Macaca fascicularis: one gene and its partners. The protein of the gene in region 1 binds, or shares a complex with, the protein of each later gene. Links are inferred from orthologs where the notes say so. Each region holds a gene or a part of one and is shown in the gene's direction. Other genes may lie near its edges.

Evidence for each region.
Region 2: MTA2 (region 1) and CHD4 share a complex: the UniProt entries of both Homo sapiens proteins name them as parts of the nucleosome remodeling and deacetylase (NuRD) repressor complex. The link is inferred for Macaca fascicularis from reciprocal best matches to the Homo sapiens genes MTA2 and CHD4.
Region 3: MTA2 (region 1) and CDK2AP1 share a complex: the UniProt entries of both Homo sapiens proteins name them as parts of the nucleosome remodeling and deacetylase (NuRD) repressor complex. The link is inferred for Macaca fascicularis from reciprocal best matches to the Homo sapiens genes MTA2 and CDK2AP1.
Region 4: MTA2 (region 1) and HDAC2 share a complex: the UniProt entries of both Homo sapiens proteins name them as parts of the nucleosome remodeling and deacetylase (NuRD) repressor complex. The link is inferred for Macaca fascicularis from reciprocal best matches to the Homo sapiens genes MTA2 and HDAC2.
Region 5: MTA2 (region 1) and CHD5 share a complex: the UniProt entries of both Homo sapiens proteins name them as parts of the nucleosome remodeling and deacetylase (NuRD) repressor complex. The link is inferred for Macaca fascicularis from reciprocal best matches to the Homo sapiens genes MTA2 and CHD5.
Region 6: MTA2 (region 1) and HDAC1 share a complex: the UniProt entries of both Homo sapiens proteins name them as parts of the nucleosome remodeling and deacetylase (NuRD) repressor complex. The link is inferred for Macaca fascicularis from reciprocal best matches to the Homo sapiens genes MTA2 and HDAC1.
Region 7: MTA2 (region 1) and CDK2AP2 share a complex: the UniProt entries of both Homo sapiens proteins name them as parts of the nucleosome remodeling and deacetylase (NuRD) repressor complex. The link is inferred for Macaca fascicularis from reciprocal best matches to the Homo sapiens genes MTA2 and CDK2AP2.

Annotation. Positions count from the first base shown.
Region 1 is NC_088388.1:11,457,067-11,461,141, forward strand, and holds the start of MTA2 (metastasis-associated protein MTA2), read left to right. Parts: upstream 1-1,275; 5' UTR 1,276-1,690; coding exon 1,691-1,718; intron 1,719-2,454; coding exon 2,455-2,522; intron 2,523-2,890; coding exon 2,891-2,984; intron 2,985-4,075. Other genes in the region: EML3 (echinoderm microtubule-associated protein-like 3), read left to right, coding at 253-383, 464-667. UniProt on the Homo sapiens protein: May function as a transcriptional coregulator. Acts as a component of the histone deacetylase NuRD complex which participates in the remodeling of chromatin.
Region 2 is NC_088385.1:7,528,353-7,532,638, reverse strand, and holds the start of CHD4 (chromodomain-helicase-DNA-binding protein 4), read left to right. Parts: upstream 1-1,486; 5' UTR 1,487-1,597; intron 1,598-2,211; exon of another isoform or gene 2,212-2,327; intron 2,328-2,444; 5' UTR 2,445-2,522; coding exon 2,523-2,622; intron 2,623-4,286. UniProt on the Homo sapiens protein: ATP-dependent chromatin-remodeling factor that binds and distorts nucleosomal DNA. Acts as a component of the histone deacetylase NuRD complex which participates in the remodeling of chromatin.
Region 3 is NC_088385.1:130,396,411-130,399,910, reverse strand, and holds part of CDK2AP1 (cyclin-dependent kinase 2-associated protein 1), read left to right. Parts: intron 1-583; exon of another isoform or gene 584-641; intron 642-1,532; coding exon 1,533-1,627; intron 1,628-3,482; coding exon 3,483-3,500. UniProt on the Homo sapiens protein: Inhibitor of cyclin-dependent kinase CDK2. Also acts as a component of the histone deacetylase NuRD complex which participates in the remodeling of chromatin.
Region 4 is NC_088378.1:17,981,119-17,984,618, reverse strand, and holds the end of HDAC2 (histone deacetylase 2), read left to right. Parts: intron 1-559; coding exon 560-715; intron 716-2,298; coding exon 2,299-2,356; intron 2,357-2,965; coding exon 2,966-2,996; 3' UTR 2,997-3,337; downstream 3,338-3,500. UniProt on the Homo sapiens protein: Histone deacetylase that catalyzes the deacetylation of lysine residues on the N-terminal part of the core histones (H2A, H2B, H3 and H4).
Region 5 is NC_088375.1:228,756,403-228,759,902, forward strand, and holds part of CHD5 (chromodomain-helicase-DNA-binding protein 5), read left to right. Parts: intron 1-521; coding exon 522-646; intron 647-1,759; coding exon 1,760-1,991; intron 1,992-2,209; coding exon 2,210-2,320; intron 2,321-2,600; coding exon 2,601-2,773; intron 2,774-3,500. UniProt on the Homo sapiens protein: ATP-dependent chromatin-remodeling factor that binds DNA through histones and regulates gene transcription. May specifically recognize and bind trimethylated 'Lys-27' (H3K27me3) and non-methylated 'Lys-4' of histone H3.
Region 6 is NC_088375.1:202,730,427-202,734,478, reverse strand, and holds the start of HDAC1 (histone deacetylase 1), read left to right. Parts: upstream 1-1,252; 5' UTR 1,253-1,349; coding exon 1,350-1,398; intron 1,399-1,421; exon of another isoform or gene 1,422-1,615; intron 1,616-4,052. UniProt on the Homo sapiens protein: Histone deacetylase that catalyzes the deacetylation of lysine residues on the N-terminal part of the core histones (H2A, H2B, H3 and H4).
Region 7 is NC_088388.1:6,866,745-6,869,935, forward strand, and holds CDK2AP2 (cyclin-dependent kinase 2-associated protein 2), read left to right. Parts: upstream 1-1,362; 5' UTR 1,363-1,386; coding exon 1,387-1,593; intron 1,594-1,687; coding exon 1,688-1,820; intron 1,821-2,173; coding exon 2,174-2,241; 3' UTR 2,242-2,691; downstream 2,692-3,191. UniProt on the Homo sapiens protein: Acts as a component of the histone deacetylase NuRD complex which participates in the remodeling of chromatin.

The DNA of each region.
Region 1 (4,075 bases):
GAACCCTGCTGGAGGGGTGGGGGACAAGGTGGAGCCCAGTTTGGGCTCGGAACGCTGGGCGTGTGTCATTGGGTGAGAGTCCAGAAACCTGAAGATCCAGCCCAGGAGGCCCCTCCGGCCCTCGGGACCGGGAAGGCTTTCCTGGAACGCGACAGTGGGTGGCTGCGGCTGCCGGAGCGCCTGAAACGGTGTAGCTCTGGGCCGTGGGTGGCGGTGGGTAGGAGGTCGGGCTGAGGCCGGCCACTGTGCTAGGCGTGTGGCCGGACGGCTCCGATGGGACCGACATCAACTCCCTGTGCCGCTCCCACAACGAGCGCGTGGTGGCGGTGGCCGACGACTTCTGCAAAGTGCATCTATTCCAGTACCCGTGCGCTCGTGCCAAGGTGAGGCCGCGGGGGCCGCCGGGGTGGGACGGGTGGGCCCGAGGGCTCCGCCGCCACTGCAACTCTTCCCTCCCGCCCAGGCGCCGAGCCGCATGTACGGGGGCCACGGCAGCCACGTGACCAGCGTCCGGTTCACGCACGACGACTCGCACCTCGTCTCGCTGGGCGGCAAGGACGCCAGCATCTTCCAGTGGCGAGTGCTGGGCGCTGGGGGCGCGGGGCCGGCGCCTGCCACGCCCTCTCGAACCCCCTCCCTGTCCCCCGCCTCCTCCCTCGACGTTTGATCGCTGCCGGCGGGACCTACTGGCCTGGCGGCGTGGCCCCGCCCCGCTCTGCCCCGCCCTAATCCCCCACGACCAGGGGCCGACTCTTTCCTCGACTGACTTCGAAACATTCCCGACGGTGCATTTCCCTGGAGGGCGCGAACGGCGCCCCTGCACACACTGTTTAGACCCGCTGGTTGAGCCGGGCAGCCCCAACCTAGGCCTTGACTCCCGCTGCCTGCTGAGGGGCAATAAACCAGAACCAAAGTCGCCTCCCGGTGCTTTTGTGGGGCGCTGCTGGGTGCCTCCGGGGCCCTGTGGGGTGGGGACGAAGGAAAAGAGGCGTGCGGAAAGGGCAAGGGAGCGTAGACCATTTATGCAAATAACAGGCAAAGCCGCTTGCAAATAACCTGGCGAAGCGCTAAGGCGCGCGAGTCTTCGGGGCGGGAGGAGGAGCTGCAGGGCTCCAGCTAGGACAGAGTTAAGCCCCACTCCTCTCCCGCCCTCGGAAAAAGGGGTGGGGGGGTGCCGAGCTGCAACGGAAATAGCCGAGCGATTGGCCGACAGGAGCCGAACTTCTTCCGGAAGTAGCCGATCTGCGGGGTCTCGCTCTCCGACCTGAGCCGAGCAGTGGGCCTTGTTCTCCGGATCGGCCGAAGGTGTTCCGGAAGGAGGCGAACCCTGAGGCGGGCCGGGCAAGCCTTCCCTGCGGCCGGCAGAGCCCAACGACTAGTGGGACTCGGCGGGGGTGGGGGCAGCTGCAGCCTGGCTCTCGCCTGGCAGGAGCCGAGCTCGTTCCGGAAGAAGCCGAGCGGACCGGGGCCAGCCTCAGCGTCCCGGGAGTGAGGCGATAGCTGCGGCGGCGATAGCGCGGGCCGGGATGAACCGCGACGGCTGAGGCAGCGGAGGTGACGGCTGCGCGGGCCCCAGTGAGACTCCCTCGAAGCGCCAGCCCACCGTTCAGGGCTTTGCCTCTAGCCGAGCCCTGCCCCCGCGAGCCTCCCGGACCCCTTTGTGCGGCCGGAGGCGGCGGCGGGAACGGCCATGGCGGCCAACATGTACCGGGTGGGAGGTGAGTACCGGGCGCAGGGGTACAGGGTCCGGGGCGGGAGAGGTTGGGGTCGGGACCGGAGGGGCTCGGCACCGGGTGGCGCGAGGCGCAGCGTATGGGGCGGCATGGACCGGAGCGCGGACCGGAACCGGAACCGGGAGACGAGGAGCTAGGGTGCGGGAAACCGCGACGCGGCAGGGCGCCGAGACTCCTGGAGAGAAGCTGCGGGCAGCCCCGACGGCACTTTCAGGGCTGCGTCGGGGGCTCCTCGGGGCACGGAGTGGGCTTCGGAAACCGGTTCCGAAGGAGCTGACAGGGTGGGGAGGGAACGCGAGGGGCTGGGGCGACGGCTTTGCCACCGCGGAGGAGCCGCCCGGAGGTTTCCTCTTCCCAGGCGTTATTGTGCGCCTCAGTTCGAAAAGGTGGGGGCCCTGCGCTAGAGCGAACAATTACTTCGCCGCGACTGAGGTGCAACTCGTTGCTGAGTTGTGGGGACTGCAGGGGAACCCCTGCTTCTTGCCTGTTCCTTAAGGCTCACTTTTGAGTAATGGATCTGATTTTAGAACTAGGTGCGGTGGGGGTGGGGGACATCCTTATTTTCTCTTAGTCTTTACACTTTCACATCTCAGCGCGCTCTCTGCCTGAATCCTTATCTTCTTTTGATCCACTCAGGCCAACTTTCTCTCCTACTGTGGTGCTCTGCGTCTCTCCCATCTCCTCTGATCTTCGTGGTTCTCGCCCCTCCCTTCCCTTACAGATTACGTCTATTTTGAGAACTCCTCCAGCAATCCTTACCTGGTTAGACGGATTGAGGAACTCAACAAGGTGAGTGGAGCAGAATCCCTCTCCCTCCCTCCCCCAGTGGTCTCTTCTGAGGTTTCTAACTTCAGGTGGAAGAGAGGACCCTATACTAAGTACCCATTCATATTCATTCATTCATTAATTGGATGTATTCAGGAAAGGCTATTGAGAGCTTAGCAGGAACTTTACTATTCTGTCTCTTGGGGGCAAAGGAAAGGGATTTGGAAGTCTGTCCTTGAATGTAAGTATTTACTCATATTTTCTTGGGCTTTTTAATTTAGGTCCCTCCGAAACTTACTGTTATTTGTCTCTTTGTGTATTTCTGTTCCCAGATGATCAATTTTCACTGCTACGTTGTTTTGTTTCTGTTTTTGTTTTTTTCCTCCCCTTAGACTGCAAATGGAAATGTGGAGGCAAAGGTCGTCTGTCTTTTCCGGCGCAGGGACATTTCTAGTAGCCTCAACAGCTTGGCTGATAGTAATGCCAGTGAGTATCTTCATCCCTTTCTTTTCCCCCTCCCCATGATCTGAGGCCTGCGCATGTCCCTGCAGGTATTTCCCCTGGTAGCATGCCCAAGGCAGAGGTGTGAGTTTGAGGGTGGGAAATGCCTGGCCTGAGGAGGGAGACCTGTTTTTACACGTTGGGGTTGGAAGCAGGGTGGAGAGATTGTGATAAGGAAAGCCATGATATGGTTTGTGTATGAGAGTAGGAGAGAGACGATACGGTTTATTTAGGGGATGAAGACGGGGTTTAGAGAAACAGAATGCTTTTCTAAAGGGGGGCAGTTTGGGGTACACTGGGACAGTAGGTGGTGACTGAAGGTCAAGGTGAAGAGGAAGAGATTGTACTGAGAAGCCCGCATAACAGAAGCAGCCTTATTTTGTAATCACAAGGTGGTGAGAATACCTGGAAGTTAGAAGATGGCTGGAAGTTTTCTTGCACTTTTTAATTTCTCACCTTGCCCATTTCCCCACCTGCCACCCCCCATTTTACATCTTTCCCTTTTCATTTTGCTCTATTTTCATCCTCTTTAAGGTCTCATTTTCTTTTTTAAAAAAAAAAATATTTTCTTAGCTTCTTTTTCCTTTCCTGCTTTGGTTTTCTTTTTCCTTCCTTTTGTTCCACCTTTCTAAATCATTTTCCTTTTTCAGACTGCTCTGGGTGAGAAGGGGTTAAAGAGGATCCTGGCTAACCAAGTTCCCTGGCCCTTTAGGGTTTCCAGCCCCATCTGGCAGGGGCTGACCTTGGCCTTGTCCAATCAGAAGGGGTGTTGGGGGTGTGGTCCCCCTTGCCTTAGCACAGGGTTTCCGGAGCACACAAGCGAGGGGTGGAGCCTACTGCACAACCCCCCCTTCTCCCTGAGGTTGGGAACAATGCACCAATGAGCCTGGGCCTGAGGCTTTTCTGCCCCCTCCCACTTTGGTTGGCGCCTAGCCAGATTAACCCCTTCCACTAGGTTTCAGGGCAAGCTGCAGCTCTTTCAGGAGGAAGATGTTGGCACTAGCTTGAGAGGTGTTGTCCTTGAAAACCCTAGGAACTATTATTAGCCAAGTAGAGAATGAGGGATAGTTAGGGCT
Region 2 (4,286 bases), on another chromosome or scaffold:
TGAGAGATAGTCTTTGGATGGGAGTTGGTAATTATTATGGGATGTTGTAGGGTGAATTAGACTTCATGTAAATGTTTCATCTGTCAGCTTGGTATTTTGGTTGGTTGGTGTTCCTCAAAACTTAGGAGCTGGAGGTAAGCATCTGGAAAATACCTGGATTTTGGTGGGACTAGGTGGGGCCCTAGGTGGGCTTCTAGCCCCCAAGTGTCTGGAAATGATGGTATGAGGGAAGCTGGGGTCCCAGACATGAGGAGGCTTTTTGCCAGGATACTGCTTTGGCCCAGAAAGGGATTAAGGTGTGTGCAAGTGGGGGCGGGGACAGGGAAGCGTGGGTAGCCTGCCTGGCCCTCCCTGCTTTGGGTGTTAGAATAGACTGACAGCGCCTGGAGATGGGGGTGGGAAGAATATGAATATTATGGGATGCCTGGCTCAAAGGGTATAGGGGTGGTGGAGTGGAGATGAAGCATTATGGGATGTGACACTGGGTTGTGTTGGGAGTATTACGGTATGTTTGGTTGACCACGGGCTCCTTGCAATTATTATGGGATGTCAGGATGTGGGTAGGAGAGTAAAATTATTATGGGATAGCTTTCCAGTGTCAGAGGAAAAGAGATTAGATGTCCATCTGTGGGGCGACAGTAGGGCTGTTGATCATTACGGGTTATCTTTTTGATAGAGGAGGGGTACTTACTATATAGGCTGTGGAGCTAGAAGAGGGAAGGGTGGGGGTGACGTGAGCCTCTAGACCCTAGCCTGCAGGGACTGAGGGCAGCCCTAGGGGGTTAGTTATTACGGGATGTCAGTATAGAAAGTGGGAGACTGATTATTATGGGATGTGTGTGGGAGGAGGCCGAGTGTCCGTTGTTGTAGTATGGGGGGGGTGAGTTTCAGACTATTATGGGATGTCAAACTGGGGGTGGATGAAGGATGGTTATTATGGGATGTCTGTGGGGGATGGGGCTGAGTATTATGGGATATGAGGCATAAGTGCTGGGAGGGGTGCTTATTATGGGATGGCCATGGGGAGGGAGGGGTGAATTATTATGGGATGTTAGCATTAGGGCCAAGAGTGAAGAAGTTGGCAAAGGATGGCTATTATGGGATGTCTAAGAGGGTTAGTTGCAAAAGGTCTGCAATATTATGAGATGTCAGCAGCCCCTGGCATATGTGTATGAAATGTGGGGGGGCAGGGTGTGTGTGTGTGTTGTGTGTGTGTGTGTGTTTTTTGGGGGGGGGGGGTGTCCGTGTGTATTATGGGATGGCCAGGAGGTGGGCGGTTGCCCAGGTGACACGCGCGCGCGCGCTCGAAGGGGGCGTGGCCAGTGGTTGCCTGAGCGACGAGGGGGCGGGGGTTGCCCGGGAGACCTGGGGAGGAGGGTGGCGGTAGTGGAAGGGGGGGTTGGAGTTGGTTGAGGTTATTATGGGCTGTCCGTGGGGGGGCGGGGCCTGTGCGGTGGGATTTCCCGGCCGGTGTTTCAGGCCCTTTAAGAGGCGACGCCGGAGCCGGAGCCATTTTCCCCCCTTCGGCCGCGGCGAGGAGGAGCTGGAGCGGGAGTGACACTGAGCCGGACCCAGCGCGACCTGCGGCGGCTCCGGGGTGAGGATAGCGCGGGGTTCCCAAAGAGACGCCCCTCACGGCCCGACCAGCCCCGAGGGTCATCCCGTCAGCCGCCCCTTCCTTAGGCGTCTCCGGACCCGCGGACCGCCCCTTGCCCAGAGGAGCCGACCCTTCCTTTCCTGGCCTGCAGGGCGCCCGGCCTCCTCCCTAGCACCCGCCCTAACCCTGCCGGAGTCTTGCTCCCCGCGACCCCCGCCTTCGGCTTGGTCTCCCACAATGCCCGGCGCCCACCCCCTCGCCCTTTGATCACTTGCCCCCCCGGGACACGTGGCCCGGCCCCCTTCCCGGTGGGACGCTTTAGCCCCCCGCGTCCCTGCCTCCGGCCCCCCGCAGCGCCCGAGCCTCCACGCCCCCTCGTCTCCGCAGCTCTTGAGGAGAACCTGAGTTGTCCCAGAGGACAGCCTTTGGAGAGCTGCCCTGTCTGGGGACTGGCCCCTCCCCGGGCGCAGGGAGGCGCCCCCCCACCCCCAAGTGACCTTGTGTCCCAGAGCGTTTCGCCGCCTGCCGCCTCCCCTGGCCCCCCCGTGCCGCTGCCACTCGGACCCCCTCCCCCGTCACACCCCGCTCGGTCCAGCCCGGCGTCTCCCCTCCCCGCGCTTGCACCAGCCTGCCCTCGGAGGCGTCGCTCCCTCGCTCCGTGGGGGCGCCTGCCGGGGAGCCGGCTTCCGGGCTGCCCCCAAGGAGTGTGGAACTAAGTTCAGCCTGAGCGGTTCGGGTGCCCTGCTAGGGTGGCTGGGGTGGGGGGCGGAAAGAGCGGGTGGGTGTGGGGGAGGGGGACAGTGCGCGTCACTGACTGTTCTCTGTTTCTCCCCCCTCCCCCGCACAGTGACTCGGGCCAGTGTAGAGGGCCCCAGGCCGCCGGCAGGAGCAGCTGGGCCAATTCCCTGGCCGGGAGCGGAAGGGGATGGCGTCGGGCCTGGGCTCCCCGTCCCCCTGCTCGGCGGGCAGTGAGGAGGAGGATATGGATGCACTTTTGAACAACAGCCTGCCCCCACCCCACCCAGGTAACATCTTCCCCAAGGGCCCAGGGCGGGAAGGAGGCATCTGGGGCTCTCCCGAGTGACTGCTCTGGTGAGGCAGGACTGTGTTGCTCGGCTGTCTCTGTGCAGAGCCGGAGGTGGAGGGCATCCGAAGGGAGTGGTTCCCTTCTGCGGAGCTCTGGTGTGAGGGGGGTGGAAGCCATGTGCCTCTTGGGCACCGCGGACGGAGATGCCAGCTTGCTGCACTCTGTCTTGAGGAATGCTCTGCAGTTCCCAGTTGAGGGAGCTCTCTGGGCTGGCAGGCATTACCTTGTGTGTGGGTCCTCGGAGGAATGCAGGTAGCTGGGACCCCTGGAGGCTTGTGGTGGTGGCGGAGGGGGGCATTGAGGATTCTATTTGAAAGACCAGCCCGGCATCTGTGCTAGTAGGATCCTGTGGTTGCCGCTGTGGAAAAGAAAGAGGGAGTGCTGGTTACACTCTATCTGATTATTTTTAGCTTCTGATCAGTTACCGGTTTTCTGTGCTGTCTCAGCTGTGTGAAGTTTGAATCGCGCTCCTCAGCAGGATCTGGAGTGCTTTTAGCCAGGCAGATTGCTGGAATGTTTTGAGTGGGGAAGTGATGGGGGCTTGGGAAGGATGTAATAGCCTAGTGAAGAGGGGCAAAAGAAGGGAGGGCATCTCTCTTCTCTTGGTGAGTGGACATAATTTTGGCTTTTTTCCTACTGGCTTCTGCCTCTATGAGGTAGCCTGGCGTTTAGGCTAGCAGTGTGAAGCGTCTGTGTAGGTGTGCTAGGGGTTGCTCTATCTGTGTTTTGGGGTGGCTCCATGAACTGGCCAAACCCGTATGGTTATAACTACATTGCCTGATTGGGGGAGCCCTTGTCTATCCTCAAATGATGGTTGATGTCATGTTCCTAAGCAGATGTCTTTCTCTTCTGTGTCCTTTTTCAGAGTCCCTAGCTAAGTCATCTACTTGTTTCCTTGACCTTCGTGTTTTCTAGGTTCATTTTTTTTCCTATGTGTCATTTCTTCATTCTTTCTGCTTCTACTTTTCTTCTCATTTTGGAGCCTGCTGATCCTGGTTTTGTTTCTCATCCAGCATCATTCAGTTCTGCCTTCTCTCTTCTTAGCTTCAGCGGAAGTTGAGGTGGTCTGGGAGAGATGCTTTCACATTTGGTACTTTTTAAGTTGGAAGTCTTGACTTCAACCTGAGGCCATTTAGGAGAGGGGTTAGTGTTGTCATGGAGTCTTGGCTGTTGGGATGAGAAACTTGGTTTCATCCTTGTGTAGGGTAGGGGGGCAGATTTCCATGCCCTTGCCCAAGGTGAGGGCAGGGTGGTGGTGCTGGTAAGGGGACCCCGTCCTTCTGAGAGGCGCATGAGAAACAGTAGTGCTGCCTAGACATTGTGGGTTCCACATCTTGGCCTCCCATTGTCCCCTTGGGCTGGGGCTGCCTTTCATGTTGACTGGGAGCTGCGCAGGAGCTGTGAACTCTGTCCTGAGCTGTAGCATGACCCACTTTTTTCACTTGCCACACCCTATTCCTGTCCCTTTCCCAAATCTTCCTCTATATCTCAGTCAGTTTGTTGTTTGCCATTTCAGCATATTATTTGCTTGAGAAGTTTGGGGGTTCCATGTGCATGGAAGGATGTCCCCTTTGCCTCTATGGGTTATCTTTATCTCCACTT
Region 3 (3,500 bases), on another chromosome or scaffold:
TGGGGGACATCGCCCTGCCCAATTCCTGCAGTGGCCGTGGACGTGCCGGATATCGCGGGCGTAGTGCTTCCCCATCCCAAGCCGCCCATCCCTGTAGCACACGTGTCTCGTCATCCCCATGTGGGAGGCATGGAAACTGAGGCTCGGAGTGGCATGGTGCTCTGCCCAGTTCAGGATCCAAGTCCACGTTTCCAGGTCCAGCCCAAGCTGGAGCATAACCCTGGGCTGCAGTGGTGGCATCCAGGGCTGGCCTGAGACTCAGGGAGACAACTCGGGACTGTCCCCGCTCCCGGATGCTCCTGGACAGAGGGGCAGGTGCTGAGGTAGCTGGCTCCCTGCATGGAGGGGCAGGTGCTATGCTGTGTGCCCTGGGGCAACTCCCTCAGGTCCATGTCTCTAAATAGAGGGGCCTGGAGCCAGGGTTCTCCAGGGCTCCTCCCGGCTCCCCCAGCCTGAGGCCCTGAACTTCCTTCCTCCTCTGCCCCTCCCCTCACCCACACCAAGTGAGCAGCTGGTGGGTTTGGCCAGCCTGGCACCAGCTGTCCATCCCCGAGGCCAAGTCTGCAGCGCCCGCTGTGTGTGTGAGAGAGAGACCGTGTGGCTCTGGGGGCGGCAGGCGGGCAGCTGCCGAGGAGGACTAGGTAAATTCTCCATGGTTACCGCTGTTTGTCATTCTGCAGGATATCCTTTACCCGCTAATGGCCACTGGGACGCCATTGCGGGGCCGCGTGCTCCCAGCCTCAGACTCCCCTCCCAGATCCAGGAGGCTGCGTTCTGGGCTGGGCCCTGCTTGGTCACTGACTGCAGCCCTGGACAGGCCCCAATGTTGCATCCCATATGTGGGGCCTCAACCCTCCTCTCTTGGAATGCAGAGCCGTTGGGACATAGACTGCCAAGAGTCTGGTCCCCTCTTTGGGGAGGGGGAGACAGGCACAGAGAGGTTGAGGGGCTTTATCTGGGGCACACAGAGGCCGTGGTGTTCTCTAGATTCCTAATTTGATGTCCAGCATGCCTGTCTCCAGCCAGGGTTGGGTCTCAAATACTCTAAGGCCTTCCCATCTTCCCCGTCATTGAGCACAGCAGAGATTTCGGTGCATAGGACAAAAAGGCTTGGAAGCTCCGCTGGTTTGGACCAGCCTCCATGGCAGTGGGCTCTTGTGGTATGATGTGGCCTCTAGGTTCTCAGCCTCTGGGGCCAGGACACAGGGAGAGGGGATGGGCAGGGATGAGGCCAGGAGTGGCAGTAATTTTATCTTTGGGAGCAGCCCTGCTGCTTGGAAGGTTCTGGTTGGACAGGACGGAGCTCTGTGAGGACCAGCAGCTGCTACAGAGCTGGGGATGGCCGAGTGCCTTGTAGCTACATTTCATTATCCGTCTTCTACACTGGTCAGACTAGAGGTGGAGAGCAGGGTTCTCTATCCTGCTACAGTTGGTGGTGTGGGTCCTGGGCAAGGGCCATTGCAGGACCTGGAGTCCTTGCCTTGGTACAACTGGCTGAGCTGACTCCTGGCCTCTCTCTCCCCACCCCACAGCTGGGAGTGTCCACTCTCCTTCCACCAGCATGGCGTCTTCACAGTACCGCCAGCTGCTCAGTGACTACGGGCCACCATCCCTAGGCTACACCCAGGTATGGCAATGGGGGTGATGGCATGGTGGGAGGGCTGGGGGGAGACATGCTCCCCACCATCAGAGGAGAGAAGCTGGTGGAAGAGACGAAGGAGCAGAAAGTATGGGACAGAGCTTTCTCAGCCCAAGGCCCTGACTGGGCTCCGGCTCAGAACACATCAGAATGGAGGGCACTGGGGACTGTGTTTCGCAGGGACGTGTGAGGTGGAGCGGACAGGAGAGCACCAGGAAGGGGCAGCAGCCCGAGCTGCGCTGCGGCCCCCACCCCACGCGCTCCTCTGGTGGGTCTCCTCACTTCTCTTTCCTGGGCAAGTGAGGCCTGGCCTTGACCCTGGCTCTCCAAGCTGGGACAGAAAACGGCCGGTTCCCACTTGCTCTCCACGGGCGTGGGCCCAGCAGAGAGGAGGTGGCCTTGTCTCGAGAGCCAAGGTGCCTCTTGTGGAGGGCCAGTGTTTGAGAGTGTGGCCCAGGCGAGGCCGCTGCCTGGTTCCACCACTTTCCAGACTGTGACCCCCACTTGGTAACTGCCCAAGACCTGGGCTCCTCATCAGCCCAAGGGTGATCCTAGTACCCCCAGCCCAGGCTGGGGAACAGCAGGAATGGGGTAGCCACCATGTCAGCTGCACCCCACATCTCCAAGGGATGAGCTGCCCTGTCGAAGGTCCCAGCGGGAAGATGCTCTCCCTGGCTGGGCCCCAGTGCCAGTGTTCTGAGGTCGCCACGGAGCCTGTTCCTTGCCGAGTGGGCGGCTTCCCAGCCATGCCCCGCCAAGCCGTCCTGCCCCAGAAGGAGAAGCAGGTGCGGGCCCGTGAGCGGGACCAGCTGAAGAAGCGGTGGCTGCGGGAGGCCAGGCAGAGGCGCAGCCGGGAGTGGCAGTGCCACATTCTGGCCATGCGACGGCGGCGCCGAGACAGGCAGGAGGCCCGTGAGGCCTGGAGGCAGTGCCGTGGGGAGGCAGAGCAGCTGGACCAAGATGAGGACAGGAGGACAGAGCGCAAGGCCAGGGGACAGAGGCGGCGGTGGAGGAGGGAGGAGGCGAGGACCTTGCCCAGGGAGCTGGTGCAGCTCTGGGAGGAGGCAGCCAAGGGGAGGTGGTCTGGGCTTGCGGGCTTGCCGGGAGCCCAGCCTCGCTGATCCGGGTGCTTGCTGTGGGGCTCCCAGTGGTGGTGGGAGGAAAGGGTTTCTGGGGGGTGGGCCCTGTGGGTGGGAGGATGAGAGAAGGGAATGCATTCCAGGCTCTGGCGGGGCCATGGCCGATGGCTGTGGTCCTGGTGGCCCAGGTGTGGCCTCTGTCTCCCCACTGGCTTGGAGGCTCGGCACCTGCGATGTGCCCTCCTACTCATCTGCATCCTGGGAAATGCTGTTTGGACTCTTTTGTGCCAAGATGAGCTGGTTCCCCTGTTTTGTTCATTGGAGATGATACACTTGCTTCCTGGAGGCGACTGGGTGGTCTTCCTGAGTGTGTGAGGATAGAAGGGTGAGGACCATCCCCCTAACCTGTAGTTGTCCCCTAGAATGGGACGTGCCTTGGCCCAGCTGAGGTGGCTACCCCAGGAGTCTAAGGCTGGACTGCGTTCCCTCCTCTGACCGGCCCAGGGGCCTCTCCACCCACCTGCCTGTGGCCTTGGGGTCAGGCTGCTGAACCCCTTTTTTTTTTTTTTTTGAGATGTTGAGATGGAGTCTTGCTCTGTCGCCCAGGCTGGAGTGCAGTGGAGCGATCTTGGCTCACTACAACCTCTGCCTCATGGGTCCGGTCCAAGCAGTTCTCCTGCCTCAGCCTCCTGAGTAACTGGGACTACAGGTGCCCACCAACATGCCCAGCTAATTTTGCTGAACCAATTTCTTTCTGATTCTAGGGAACTGGGAACAGCCAA
Region 4 (3,500 bases), on another chromosome or scaffold:
TGATTGAAAGTTATCAAAAGCTAGCCACTTCAGTATATTTGGCAATTAATAAGACATCTCATTTATTTGAAGTAGGGTGAACCAAATAACTAAACATCTGTTTGATTTTGCAACTTCTCATTACACTTAATATGATGGTTAGATTGTAGCATAATGGTACATGTAGTGGTATAGACTGTCTAACATATTTGGTATTGGTACTTTTTTTGGTCTACTTCACCTCTCAGCTCTGAAATAAAATGCTACTTTTTAAGTAATGATATTATTCCTATCCCCATTAGAAAAACACACTTTTTTCCTTCAGAGTTTCAGCATTTTTAAAAGAAAAAGAAATTCCCCCAATTTTTATTATGTGTTTTTGAGCCATTTCTTCATACTTGAAAGCAAAGTTTTCAATATTAAGTAAACCATTCATTCCATTCAAATTTTAAAATCATTAGGCATCTGTTATCCTTTACCTTTAAATGTGGTAACTGCTGGTGCGTTTGTATGAGTATGCTATAATGATTATAAAACCTATGACTCTTTTTGTCAAAATTTATTAAAATCTTTTGTGCAGTTCGAGCATCAGACAAGCGGATAGCTTGTGATGAAGAATTCTCAGATTCTGAGGATGAAGGAGAAGGAGGTCGAAGAAATGTGGCTGATCATAAGAAAGGAGCAAAGAAAGCTAGAATTGAAGAAGATAAGAAAGAAACAGAGGACAAAAAAGCAGGTCAGATTTGTTTCTTGGTAGTTATTTTAATTGTAAATTTTAAAAATTGAGCTACATTGTAATGTTTATGAGATCCTAAAGTCAGTTTCACAAGTATCAAAGGAGGAAGTATGCTAGGTAGATGACTCTCTTTTTTCTTACATGTAAGTGGTGCTTAGCTCTTAAAGCTTTTATATAAATGTTATTGTTCCTGTTTGCTTTAATAATATAGGAAACTTTATCTTCTTGATAACGTGGGTTTAAAATAGTAAACATTGTACTGTGATAGAGATTGGGTAAGAAAGAGGACAAAGTAATTATGAATCTATTTGTAATGCATGGTCAGAACTGAACTTCTAAGGTAATTTTTAACTACCTAAAGCTTATTTAATGGGAGAAAACACAAAGAAGAGTTACATACCCTTAGACTAGTTTTGCCATTTTGAAAAAGGTCAAATAATAGATTTTGTTCAGAAATTGAAGAAAACATTAAAAGCTCTGAGGAAAGCTAGGAGGGGATTTGGGATGTGGGTTAGGAAGGAGTTAATACGTTGATACATTGCCTTACCTTAAAACGCTGTGTTAGCTTTAGGCAATTGAATTTGCTACCTGAATCTGTTACCTTTCATCTGACTTCCCAGAACACTTACACATGCCTCTGCCATTTTATTTAACACATATTATAGCACCTCACAGGATTTTGTCTCCCTGCTAGATTGAGCTGCTCATGGCTAGGGAACACAATATCTTAAATACTTGTATTCTCAGCGCTTGATGCATTTCCTAATGCAGGTAATGGTGATGAGCACACGTTTTAGTTAACCTGTTAATTTTTATCCTGTAGCATGTGAAAAACTGATTTAGAGGTACTGATCCAATTTTTCCTGTATCTATCAAATTGAAGTTATGTGAATAAGCTGGCTTTTTTTTTTTTTAACTAGAGAGTTCGTAATTTGTAACATCTGACACATCTAGTTCTATTCTTTTCCTTGTGAATTCACTCCTCAATAGGCTACATACAGTTCTCTATCTACCATTTTATAATTTTAACTTCGCAGTGTATTATAATGATGGCTTCAGTCTATATTTGTATACTGATTGACATCCAAAAATTCAAGCCATGACTGAGGTAAGGACTTGACTTTAGCTGTAGGATTTTTCTAACTTTTTTTCTTTTCTTTCATTTTCACTATGTCGTCGTCTTGTCTATTTTTTGGTGTTGTCATTTTTAAAAGCTTTATCTTTTCTGTGCTTAAAAAATAAACCCTCTATTTGGTGATGGGGCTCTTCTGATAGGGCCTTGCAGTTGTTAAACTTCTTCAGCCTACAGAAAAATGAAATACACTTTTTAAATCTATAGGTCAAAACCTAGAGTTAGGGCCACCTGTTCTCTTCCTCCCCACCCCAATCCAGTGACTGTTCATAGCTTGTACTGCCATCGTTTAGGAAACACCCAACACAAAGCTTATTTAGACCCTAATTCATTAATAATAAGATTGCATGATACTTTTTTATATTTTAAAAATAAAGTATATTTTGAAATAATATATATACATTTTATATTTCAAAATAGGTTTTAATCTTTTCCCAATCTTTATTTTTAGACGTTAAGGAAGAAGATAAATCCAAGGACAACAGTGGTGAAAAAACAGATACCAAAGGGTAAATGATGTTCCTTATTGAGTACTTTTTACATACTATAAAAATGCTAAACATGTTTATTGGTGTGTGTGTGTACACACTTCAGAAATACTAGACTGAACCTTAGAACATCATTATGAGGTGCTCTGAATTTTAGTTTGTATTGGTACATAAGACAACATATGCCATCTTACCTATTGGTTTATCAATATAAACTAAGTCAGTTTGTATTTTTATACATCATTTATCTGAGATCCTTTTTTGCTATTGTCTTTTATATGTGCACTTAATGGTTTTCATGGTGTTATTTCTGTGTACATGATTTTTTTAGTGTTGTGAGATAGGTACGTTTAAGAAACAATTTTAAGTAAAAACAGTTGAGGATTTTATTGTCAGAAAGCATGTAAAAGTTTGAGCATACATAATTTTGTGCCAGCCTTTACAGGATAACTTGGAATGATTATAAAATCACTAGAAAGATTAAGGCATTAATTATCCAGAAACACTTAAGACATTATCAATTAATGTGTTTGTTAGCATGAGCCTACAGGACCTGATCAATAGAGTAGGTCAGTGCATTGAAATCGAGATTGTGCCATTGTTAATATTTCACATTGCCTCTTTTAACAGAACCAAATCAGAACAGCTCAGCAACCCCTGAATTTGACAGTCTCACCAATTTCAGAAAATCATTAAAAAGAAAATATTGAAAGGAAAATGTTTTCTTTTTGAAGACTTCTGGCTTCATTTTATACTACTTTGGCATGGACTGTATTTATTTTCAAATGGCTTTTTCGTTTTTGTTTTTCTTGGCAAGTTTTATTGTGAGTTTTTCTAATTATGAAGCAAAATTTCTTTTCTCCACCATGCTTTATGTGATAGTATTTAAAATTGATGTGAGTTATTATGTCAAAAAAACTGATCTATTAAAGAAGTAATTGGCCTTTCTGAGCTGATTTTTCCATCTTTTGTAATTATCTTTATTAAAAAATTGTACTTGGATTGTCTTTTGTCTGTTTATTACTACAATATGAAATCTTGTTTCAACGGCTAATGACATCATTTCTTTAGACTTACAATACACTCTAGATGAAAGATAATAATTACAGCTCGAAAGATATCTTATTTGCTGTTTCTTTGGGAAGAGTATTTATAGTAATTATTA
Region 5 (3,500 bases), on another chromosome or scaffold:
GTCCCAGGTCACTGCAGGGCCCCGAGAGGCTGAGAACCTGCCATCCTGTGACAGGGTTGCCCAGTGGGGTGGGACCCCAGGCCCCGGAGCTGTGCCCCTGAGTTTTCCCGGGCTGCCCTGGCAGCATCGGTGGGCTAAGGGAAGCCAGGGGTGGGAAGCTCGGGGGACATGGAGGACTGAGCTCTCTGGGCTCTGCTTGTACTTTGCTGGCGGCTTGCACTTTGTTTTTTGCTCATCTGGGCTTTGAAAATTGACCTCCTCGTTCCAGTGACCTCCCACTGGGCCAGGGCTCAGAGCACGCTGGGGGCTAAGTGGGCTTGGGCAGGCCTCCCCTCTGGCTCCCCTGAGTGCAGCTGTGGCCACCTGTCTCTGATGGAGTCTCCGGCTTTGTCCTTCTCTGCCAGGGACCTGTTGCTGCAGTTCCTTCCCTCTGTTCTCCCCACCTCCTTTCTGCCACGCCCGTCTCCCCGCCCAAGGTACACCCCCACAAACACCCCCATCTGCTGGCCTCTCTTTTTCAGCCCCCGGGGCCCAGCAATTCTGCTTCCTCCTTTCAACCCGGGCAGGCGGCCTGGGCATCAACCTGGCCACAGCCGACACTGTCATCATCTACGACTCGGACTGGAACCCGCACAATGACATCCAGGTCTGTGCCGCTGCCACCCGTCACCCTCCCAGGGGGCCTCTCATCCCGGGCCTCAGGCAGGTTCTGTCCTTCATGCCCTCCTGGCCATGGCCCCCTCACCTACCCTGCTGCTGTGGGCCTCCGTCCCCTATGGAGTCTCGGCCCCAAGACGGGCCCTGGGAGTGAGTGGAAGCTCATCCCTCCAGCTCCGTCCTTGTCCAGAGGAGGAAGCAGGCTTGGAGAGGGCAGGGAGAAGGCAGGGGAAGTGTCCCGGGGCACACAGCAGTTCGTCGGGGCCTCTGATCTGGTCTTTCCCATGCTCAGGACCAAGGAGGGAGGCAGGAAGAGGGAGCCCTGGGACCCAGAGGGGCACCCATTTTGGAGGGGGCGGGGAGCAGAGAGTGGGGCCTGTGGGAGGTGAGTAGGGGAGGATGAGATAGTGCAGGGGGCAGATGGGGCTGATAAGGAAGGATGGAAGGGCTGCGGGGGGAGGGGCTATGGGAATAGAGCCACCCTCGTGTCCCTGGCCACCCCTCTCGGGCACTGGGACACACACATCGAACGCTTACAAATGTAGGGGAACACATACAAATTGATGTCTCTCATTCACGAGTGTGTGCGCCCATGCACACAGATACACACGGCCACACCCAGGTCACCTCATGCAGGGCCGCACAGAGGCACTTCCTTGTATGATATTGGGCAGATTCAGCTCCTTGCTGCCCTCAGAAGGTGGCTGCGCGCCTCCAGCACATGGTCTTGTGGTCCCATTAGTGGTTCGCTCACAGGGAAATGCAGCCTCCTCCTACCTCCCCATGGCCCCCATGAAGCTCTGTGTAGCTTCAGTTACACTCAGCACACTGGCCGTGTCATCCCTCCCACACTCTTGCACACCTGCAGTCCTGCCTGCTTCCACTGGCTGGGAGTTTTTCCACTCCAAACCCAGCCTGGCACCCAGGCTCGTGGGAGGCTCCGCAGTCAGGGAGGGAGCCCAGCTGCAGGGGTGCACGCACCACATGCCTTTGCCTACACAGTCATGCACCCCATTCCATGCTCTTGAGCTCATTGGTGTGAACCCTTCCATTGCCTGGAGCCCTGGGTGAGCCACGGGTGCTGAGGTGCAGGTCTCCCCAGGCCTTCAGCCGCGCCCACCGCATCGGCCAGAACAAGAAGGTGATGATCTACCGCTTCGTGACTCGGGCCTCAGTGGAGGAGCGCATTACGCAGGTGGCCAAGCGCAAGATGATGCTCACCCACCTGGTGGTGCGACCTGGTCTCGGCTCCAAGTCGGGGTCCATGACCAAGCAGGAGCTGGATGACATTCTCAAGTTCGGCACAGAGGAGCTCTTCAAAGACGACGTGGAGGGTGGGCCTCTGTTCCGAGGGAGCATGGCGGGGCCTGGGGTGGTCCCACTGAGACACCCATCCAGGGCTTGCTGGGGTCCCTGCCCGCTCCAACACACAGCCTCTCTCCTGCACCCCCAACCTGTGTCTGCTGGCCAGGACAGCCCAGGGTGGTGTCTGCCCGTCAACCCTGCAGCCGTCTGTGCTCCTGCACCAGTGCTCTCCTCCTCTGTCTGACAGGCATGATGTCTCAGGGCCAGAGGCCGGTCACACCCATCCCTGATGTCCAGTCCTCCAAAGGGGGGAACTTGGCTGCCAGTGCAAAGAAGAAGCATGGTAGCACCCCACCAGGTAGGGGTCAACCCAGCCTAGTCTCAGCTCCTCCTGCGGCCAGGTGGCTGTTCCTGCAGAGGAGGGGTTCCTCGACCCACCCTCATTTGAGTGTCCTGGGACTGCCGGGTGGACGGGGAGCGGAGCTGTGACAGCGCGGTTTCCTCTGTCTGGTCACCACGCCTCTCAGCTGCAGCCCCTGGTGGGGATGGGAAGGGCCATTGTTCGGAGTCTGTTCCCGGGTCCCCGGGGCTGGATCAGGGCAGTCTTTGTCCCCACACTGCACTTGCCTGCTCCCCAGGTGACAACAAGGACGTGGAGGACAGCAGTGTGATCCACTATGACGATGCAGCCATCTCCAAGCTGCTGGACCGGAACCAGGACGCTACAGACGACACGGAGCTACAGAACATGAACGAGTACCTGAGCTCCTTCAAGGTGGCGCAGTACGTGGTGCGCGAGGAGGACGGCGTGGTAAGGTCCCAGCCTGCCCTCCTTCCGCAGCCCCGCCCTCCACTGTGCCCACGCCTTCCACTGTGACCCCACCCTCCTGCCACAGCCAGCCCCCCAAGCTGTGACCCCGCCCTCCAGCCTCAGCCCCCTCCTCCAGCCGCAGCCCCGCCCTCCCTGCTATGACCCCGCACTCCAGCCTCAGCGCCCCCTCCAGCCGCAGCCCTGCCCTCCCTGCTGTGACCCCACACTCCAGCGTGTGCTCCGCTCTCCAGCCACATGCTCAGCCGTCCCCGCAGGGGCCCTGTCGCCCCACCCGTGGGCTCAGGACTAGGCATAGCAGTGAGGGAAGGGACGGAGGCAGTGTTGAGGGCAGTACAACTACATGGACTGGCCACTGCCCTTGCACACATCAGCCGCCTGCTCCGTGGCATCATCCCGGGTCCAGTCCAGCTTCCCCACTCTGAAGTGCAAGCTGATCTGCCACCCCGTTGCACAGAGCCCTGTGCCCAGAGTCTGGTTTCAGTCCCTACCCGGCTGCACCCTCCCAGCCCTTCCTCAGGGCCTGCATCTCAGCCCTGCACCTGGACTGCCAACATTCCAGAACGCCCTACACTTTTCTTTTTTTTTTTTCCTGAAATGGAGTCTCGCTCTGTCGCCCAGGCTGGAGTGCAGTGGCACAATATCGGCTCACTGCAACCAACGCCTCCCAGGTTTAAGTGATTCTCGTGCCTCAGCCTCACAAGTAGCT
Region 6 (4,052 bases), on another chromosome or scaffold:
CTGCTCTTCTAGGCCAGGCACCATGGCTCATGCCTGTAACATTGGGAGGCCGAGGCGGGCGGATCCTGAGCTCAGGAGTCGGAGACCACCTTGACCAACATGGAGAAACCTCGTCTCTACTAAAAATACAAAGTTAGCCGGGCGTGGTGGCGCATGCCTGTAAGGCCAGCTACTCGGGAGGCTGAGGCAGGAGAACCGCTTGAACCCAGACGCAGAGATTGCGGTGAGCCGAGATCACACAGCACAGATCACACCATTGTACTCCAGCCAGGGCAACTAAAGCGGAACTGTCCTCAGGGAAGGGAAGGGAAGGGAGGGGAGGGGAGAGGAGGGGAGGGGAAGGGAGGGGAAGAGAAGGGAAGGAAAAAGGAAAGGAAAAAGGAAAGGAAAGGAAAGGAAAGGAAAGGAAAATCTGCTCTCCTATCATAGGATAATCCCATTTCTTCCTGTCTAAAGAGACTCCTACTTAAGTCATCCTGGGTGACTGCTTCAGGGAGGTAGGTTTTGGAGTCAGAAAGGCTGGGTTCTGTCACTTTGTTACAGTGCCTCTGGTGCAAAGAAGGCATTCAAAAAACCCTGTACAGTTGAAAAATTGAATTTAATTACTTTGTGTAACTTTGAGTAATTCACAGAAATCTGAACTTCTTTATCCTGTCCTGTAAAATGGAGGTAAAAAGCCCTTGGCCGAGAGGTGTTTTGAGGAAAAACTGAAATAACATTGGTAAACTGTCGCACAGTACTTGGCACACAGCAGCCCCTCGACAAACAGCTTTCTTTCCCTTTCTTGTCAGTTTCTTCCTCTCAAAACCAGCGTGTTGCTTTTCTTTTTAATTTAATTATTTTTCTGTAGCCCTCCTTTGCGATCACAAACTCGCTTTCTAACCCAGGTTCAGCCCTTTTATTGGCTGAGTGACCTTGTGCAAGTCACTTTTCCCCTGTAGGCCTCGGTTTATTCTCCGTAAAATCAGAAAGTTGGCCTCCGATCTCCAAGCACGCTTTTCACGACCAAGTGGGACTGTTAAGTTTACGGAGCTGCTTTCCTCCCCCGGGACTGATGGTACGGTCCCCGGGCGGCTCCCCACCCATCTGTCGCAGACCTTGGTACAGGCCCAGGGGGCCCTCGGCGGCCTCTCCGGGCTGCCCTTGCCCCCTGCCGAGTTCCGGGCCCGTGTCTGCGCAAGCTGATTGGCTGGAGCGGTGCCCGGGCTGCGCGGCTATAGGTGAGCTCAGGAGGAGACGGGCGGGGCGGGCCGGAGACCCGCCCCCTCCCCCCTGGGTCGGACGCTGAGCTGAGCCGCGGGCGGGAGGGCGGACGGACCGACTGACGGTAGGGACGGGAGGCGAGCAAGATGGCGCAGACGCAGGGCACCCGGAGGAAAGTCTGTTACTACTACGACGGTGAGCACTGTCCTCGCGGCGGGGGCGGGGCCGGGCCGGGCCGAACCGGGGACCTGGAGGCTGAGGCTGGAGCGCCGATGGGAGGCTGCGGGAGGCTGAGGCGCTGGGGAGAGGCTCGGAGAGGAGGCTGCGAGGGGGAAGTCGAGGCTGAGGGAGGAGGCTGTGAGGAAAGGAGATCGAGGCTGAGATCGAGGGGATCGCGTGGGGGAACCCTGAGGTAATCTTGGTGGGAAGATTCTGAGGAAGTCTGATGTGGAGAGTTTGATGTGGAGAGTTTGAGTGGGACTCCTAGAGGGGAGGGTGCGTCCGAGGAGGGAGGCTGAATCTGATGGAGACGGCTGCAAGGATACATTTTCTTGCCGAGAACCCAAAGCTCTTCCCTGCCCCGTCTCTTCCTCATCTTTTCTGGGAGAAGAGCCCTGCACGACTGGTCGCCCGCCTCCCCTCCCCCAGCCTCTGAGCGGGGCCTGCGGTTGCTACTGCGACGTGGGGCGCCAGGGGTTGCAAGGAGAAGGATGCAACCTGTTAAAACAGGCTTCTCACTTAATCTCTCAAGCAGGTTACTGTGTTCGAGGAAGTGTTGAGGGGCTGGGGCGGTGGGAATGATCGGGTCCCAGTGACCGAAGTTCTCTCCGTGTCAGAGCTCAGAGTGTTAGAGGAGCACAGAGAATAGGCACCGAACTCCACCTGAGGAGTCAGCGAAGGAGGGGACGTCTCAGGACCTGAAGAACAGGAGTTCTTAGCCAGGCAAAGGGAAGGCAAAGATAACAGCAAGTTTCAGAGGCAAGAGAGAGGACAGCACCTTTGAAAAACAGGCATTTGACCGGGCGCGGTGGCTCACGCCTGTAATCCGAGCGCTTTGGGAGGCCAGGGCAGGCGGATCACTTGAGGTCAGGAGTTCGAGACCAGCCTGGCCAACATGGCAAAACCCTGTCTCTACAAAAATATAAAAAGTAGCTGGGCGTGGTGGCGCGCGCCTGTAATTCCAGCTACTTGGGAGGCTGAGGCAGGAGAATCCCTTGAACTTGGGAGGTGGAGGTTGCAGTGAGATGAGATCAGGCCACTGGATTCCAGCCTGGGTGACAGAGCAAGACTCTGTCTCAAAAAAAAAAAAAAAAGGGAAGAAAGAAAAGCAGGCATTTGTTTTTTTTTTTTTTTTTTTTTTTTTTTTTTTTTTTTTTTGAGACGGAGTCTCGCTCTGTCGCCCAGGCTGGAGTGCAGTGGCGCGATCTCGGCTCACTGCAAGCTCCGCCTCCCGGGTTCACGCCATTCTCCTGCCTCAGCCTCCCGAGTAGCTGGGACTACAGGCGCCCACAACCGCGCCCGGCTAATTTTTTGTATTTTTAGTAGAGACGGGGTTTCACCGTGGTCTCGATCTCCTGACCTTGTGATCCGCCCGCCTCGGCCTCCCAAAGTGCTGGGATTACAGGCGTGAGCCACCGCGCCCGGCCAAAGGCATTTGTAACAGTATGGCTGAGACATAGATTTGGGGGCCTATTGTAGAAGGTGGGGACCCGGGGCGAGGGAAGTGTTGCAAATAATGTGGTTGCTGAAGTAAATGGAGACCGACCAGGTGAGGTGGCTCACACCTGTAATCCCAGCACTTTGGGAGGCCAAGGCTGGTGGATCATCTGAGGTCAGGAGTTCGAGACCAGCCTGGCCAACATGGCGAAACCCCGTCTCTACTAAAAATACAAAATTAGCCGGGCATGGTGTCGCGCACCTGTAATCCCAGCTACTCTGGAGCCTGAGGCAGGAGAATCCCTTAGAACCCGGGAGGTGGAGGTTGCAGTGAGCCAAGATCATACCACTGCACTCCAGCTTGGACAACGGAGTGAGGCTATGTCTTAAAAAAAAAAAAATGTAAACAGGGACCAGACCATGAAGGGCTGGGCATGCTGTCCCAAGGAAGTTGGACTTTATTGAGGGCACTTGTGAATGATTCAAGTTTTATGCAGGTTAGTGACATCATCAGGTTTATACCTTAGAAATTAAAGTCATGGGCTGGGCACGGTGGCTCACACCTGTACTCCCAGCACTTTGGGAGGCTGAGGAGGGCAGATCACGAAGTCAGGAGATCGAGACCATCCTGGCTAACTTGTGAAACCCCGTCTCTACTAAAAATACAAAAAAATTAGCCGAGCGTGGTGGCGGGCGCCTATAATCCCAGCTACTTGGGAGGCTGAGGCAGGAGAATGGTGTGGATGCGGGAGGTGGAGCTTGCAGTGAGTGGAGATCATGCCACTGCACTCTATCCTGGGCGACAGAGGGAGACTCCGTCTCAAAAAAAAAAAAAAGAGAAAGAAATTAAAGTCATGGGGTCCAGGTGCAGTGGCTCACGCCTGTAATCCCAGTACTTTGGGAGGCCGAGGCAGGAGATCACTCGAGGCCAGGAGTTCAAGACCAGCCTGGCCAACGTGGTGAAACCCCGTCTCTACTAAAAATACAAAAATTACCTGGGCGTAGTGGCACGCACCTGTAATCCCAGCTACTCAGGAGGCTGAGGCAGGAGAATCACTTGAACCTGGGAGGCAGAGGTTGCAGTGAGCCAAGATTGCGCCACCGCACTCTAGCCTGGGCAACAGGGTGAGACTCGATCTCAAAAAAATAAAAAAATTAGCCAGGTGTGGTGGCACATGCCTGTAGTCCCAGCT
Region 7 (3,191 bases), about 4.6 Mb from region 1:
GTGGAGTGGAAAGGTATGGGGGCCCCGGAGTGGGACAGGAAGCTCTTTATGACTATTCATTTAATCCACACAACCCAATGAGATTGTCATTTTCCCCATTTTACGGATGGGGAAACTGAGGCATACTGAGGTGAGAAACTTGCCTGGGGGAAATCGCTAGTGGGGGTGGTACTGAGATTCGAACCCAGGCGGTTGGCTCCAGTCTGTGCTCTTGACCAATTTGGTCCGGTGCCCGGCACACAAGTAATCCCTGTTTGCCCTACGGCCATTATCACTAACTGAGGCAGCGGCGCGGGGCCTTGGGGGTGAGGGCAAAGGGGTCCTTGAGGTCGCCCTTGGACCTGAGGACAAGCCAAGCCTCAGGAAGAACGGTGCGCGGCGGCATAGATGAAGGGCCCGTTGCCATGGGAACAAACGCAGGCCTCGGGCGGGCGCATGCGCAGATCGGGGAGAGGGTGTTGAACCGGTGAAAAGTGACGTAAAAGCGCACGGGGTGGGGCGCGGGGCTCGGGACGTCAAAGCCCTGCGTCCTTCGGCCCCCGGAGCAGAGAAGCGCGCACGGCAGCGGTGACAGCGGCCACGGCAGCGGCGACAGCAACCCCTGCTGGGCCGAAACTGGGCAGAGCGGAGCAGACGTCTGAAGCAGCGCTAGTGAGGCGCGAGGGTGGCGCCCGCGCCCGGGAAGACCCCCTCGGCGCGAACCGGCGGCCCAGCCCCGGGTCCGGGTTCCCGAGGCCCCGCCTCTAGGGCCTGGGGACTAATCGGATTGAAAGCGCGCCGGCCCGGGCCGCGAACTCGCCAATTGCGGAGGGCGGTGGCCACCGCCCAATCCGGAGCAGACAGGTGCGAGGTCCGGAAGGCGGAGGCCAATCGGCGGCGGTTGCGACCTGCTGGGGCAGGTCTCGGCCAATAAGGAGGCTCGAGTGACATCTTCGCCCACCAATCGGGAGTGAGGGAGCATTCGTGCCCGCTCGCCCTTCCGGCCAGACCTCTATTTACCAGGGGCGTGCAGCCCGCTTGCCAATCAGAGCGCGGCTGAGCGGCCCGGCAGCCAACCCCCGAGGAGCGGCCGGCTGGCGTCCGCCGCGCCCAGGAGTTGGGGATGTCCTACAAACCCATCGCCCCTGCCCCCAGCAGCACCCCTGGCTCCAGCACCCCTGGGCCGGGCACCCCGGTCCCTACAGGTGAGGATCCAGCTCCACCCCTGCTCGCCTGCCGGGCGGTCGAGGTCTCGAAGAGAAGACGGCCTGAGTTCTGCAATACTGGGCTTGCCGCCTACCCTCGCTGAGCCTCAGTTTGCTGGCCTGTGAAGTGGGCGTGGTCACGTAAGGGCTTGTAGGTGGAGCGCAGTGGGAGGGATTTGTCCCTGAAGTTGATCAGCCTGGAATGAAGCATCCTTTGGAGGGAATCGGGCGAACCCGGTCCTGGGCTTGGAAAAGCTGGGAGGCGGCGTCCCTGCCCCGCGCTGACCTCTTACTCGCGCCTGTTGCTGCAGGAAGCGTCCCGTCGCCGTCGGGCTCAGTGCCAGGAGCCGCCGCTCCTTTTAGACCGCTGTTTAACGACTTTGGACCGCCTTCCATGGGCTACGTGCAGGTGAGTGGGGCCAAAGGCTTGCTTATGGATGGGGACTGGAGTCCCCCTCCCCGCCAGGTGCCTGAGCTCACTGCCCTGTTCTCTTTTGACATAGGCGATGAAGCCACCCGGCGCCCAGGGCTCCCAGAGCACCTACACGGACCTGCTGTCAGTCATAGAGGAGATGGGCAAAGAGATCCGGCCCACATATGCTGGCAGCAAGAGCGCCATGGAGCGCCTGAAGAGAGGTAAGTGAGGCCAGGCCGCCCTGCTTAGGAAACCGACACTGGACTATCTTCCATTAGGGAAAGAAAGACATCCGGAGGCCACCTGAGCCAAGCCTAGAGGAGGGCCAGTATTACTACCCAGAGAGGTGTTTTGAATCGAATTGAAATTGCGTCCATTTCCAGGGAAGAGCCTGGGAATTTGTACTTCTACAGGGCAACCTTGAGGATTAACCAAACCTCTAATCTCATCTAGCCGTCATTAGTTTGGAATTTCTCTTGCTGAAAGGGGAAAGGGAGTGGGGAGGCAGGGGTCCTCCTCTGGAGGGCAGTGGGTGGGGCTGTGGAGCGTTGCTGAGACCCCACCCCACCACCAGGTATCATCCATGCTCGGGCCCTAGTCAGAGAGTGCCTGGCAGAGACAGAGCGGAACGCCCGCACGTAACAGGAAGCGCCCCGGCCTCAGCGTCTGGACCTTTCCCGGCCACTGCAGAGCACCCGCTTCTCCCTGGCCTTCATCCCGAGTTGCACTAACCATCCTGGGCTTCCTGTCCTGTGTCCCTTGGTGGGTCCCCTCCAGGAACCAAGGAGCGGCTCTCCAGGTGGCAGCACTAAGGACATCCCCCCACAACAAGAGTTAGCAGCGAGGTCCCCATGAGTCCCACCCATGACCTGCCAACAGTGTTGCCCACCGGAACTTTCTGTGGTCCCCACCGCTCAGCCCTTCCCAGCCCTTCTCCCACTTTGTCCCGAGCGTCCTTCTCCCCCAGCAGGGGCTCAGGCCTGGCACCTCACTGCCTTGTGTCCTGAGCCATAGTGACTCTTTTATCTGTGTGTCTTTTGCTAAATATGCCCTTTTTATATTAATAAAAGATGATTTGGAGTTGTGCTCTCAGCTCTGAGCCTTTCTGGGTCTGGTTCTTCAGCTAAGCCTGGGTGGGCCAGGCAGAGAAAGGGGAAGAGGAGACTAGGAGTGGGGAGGGTGTGACTAAACAGGGTTTGACTTGCCTCTGTGGGCCATCAGCCTCAGGTGGGAACCGGGCCCTCTCCGCCCCAGCCGTGGCGCTGAGAGCCCTGGGCCTTCCTGTGGTGCCACCAGGGGGCAGCACAGGGCCTGGCTGCTTCCACAGCCCTTGGCGCTATGGGCAGCCTGGGCCTGGAGGGCGCTTCCTCTGGATTGGCGGTGATGCCTGGCAGCATGGAAATGCCAGTTCACGTAAGCCACTCCCTCAAACGCCCTAATGCCCTGACAACACCCCAGCCTCTGAATCAGCCCTGAAGGTCTCTGACTCCTCAGAGAGAACGGGCACTGCTGCTTCCAGCCCTTGGCCTCACAGTCAAGGGGAGGGGCTGGCCGGTTGCTGCTGTCACTACCCCAGCACCTTGTAGCAGGCT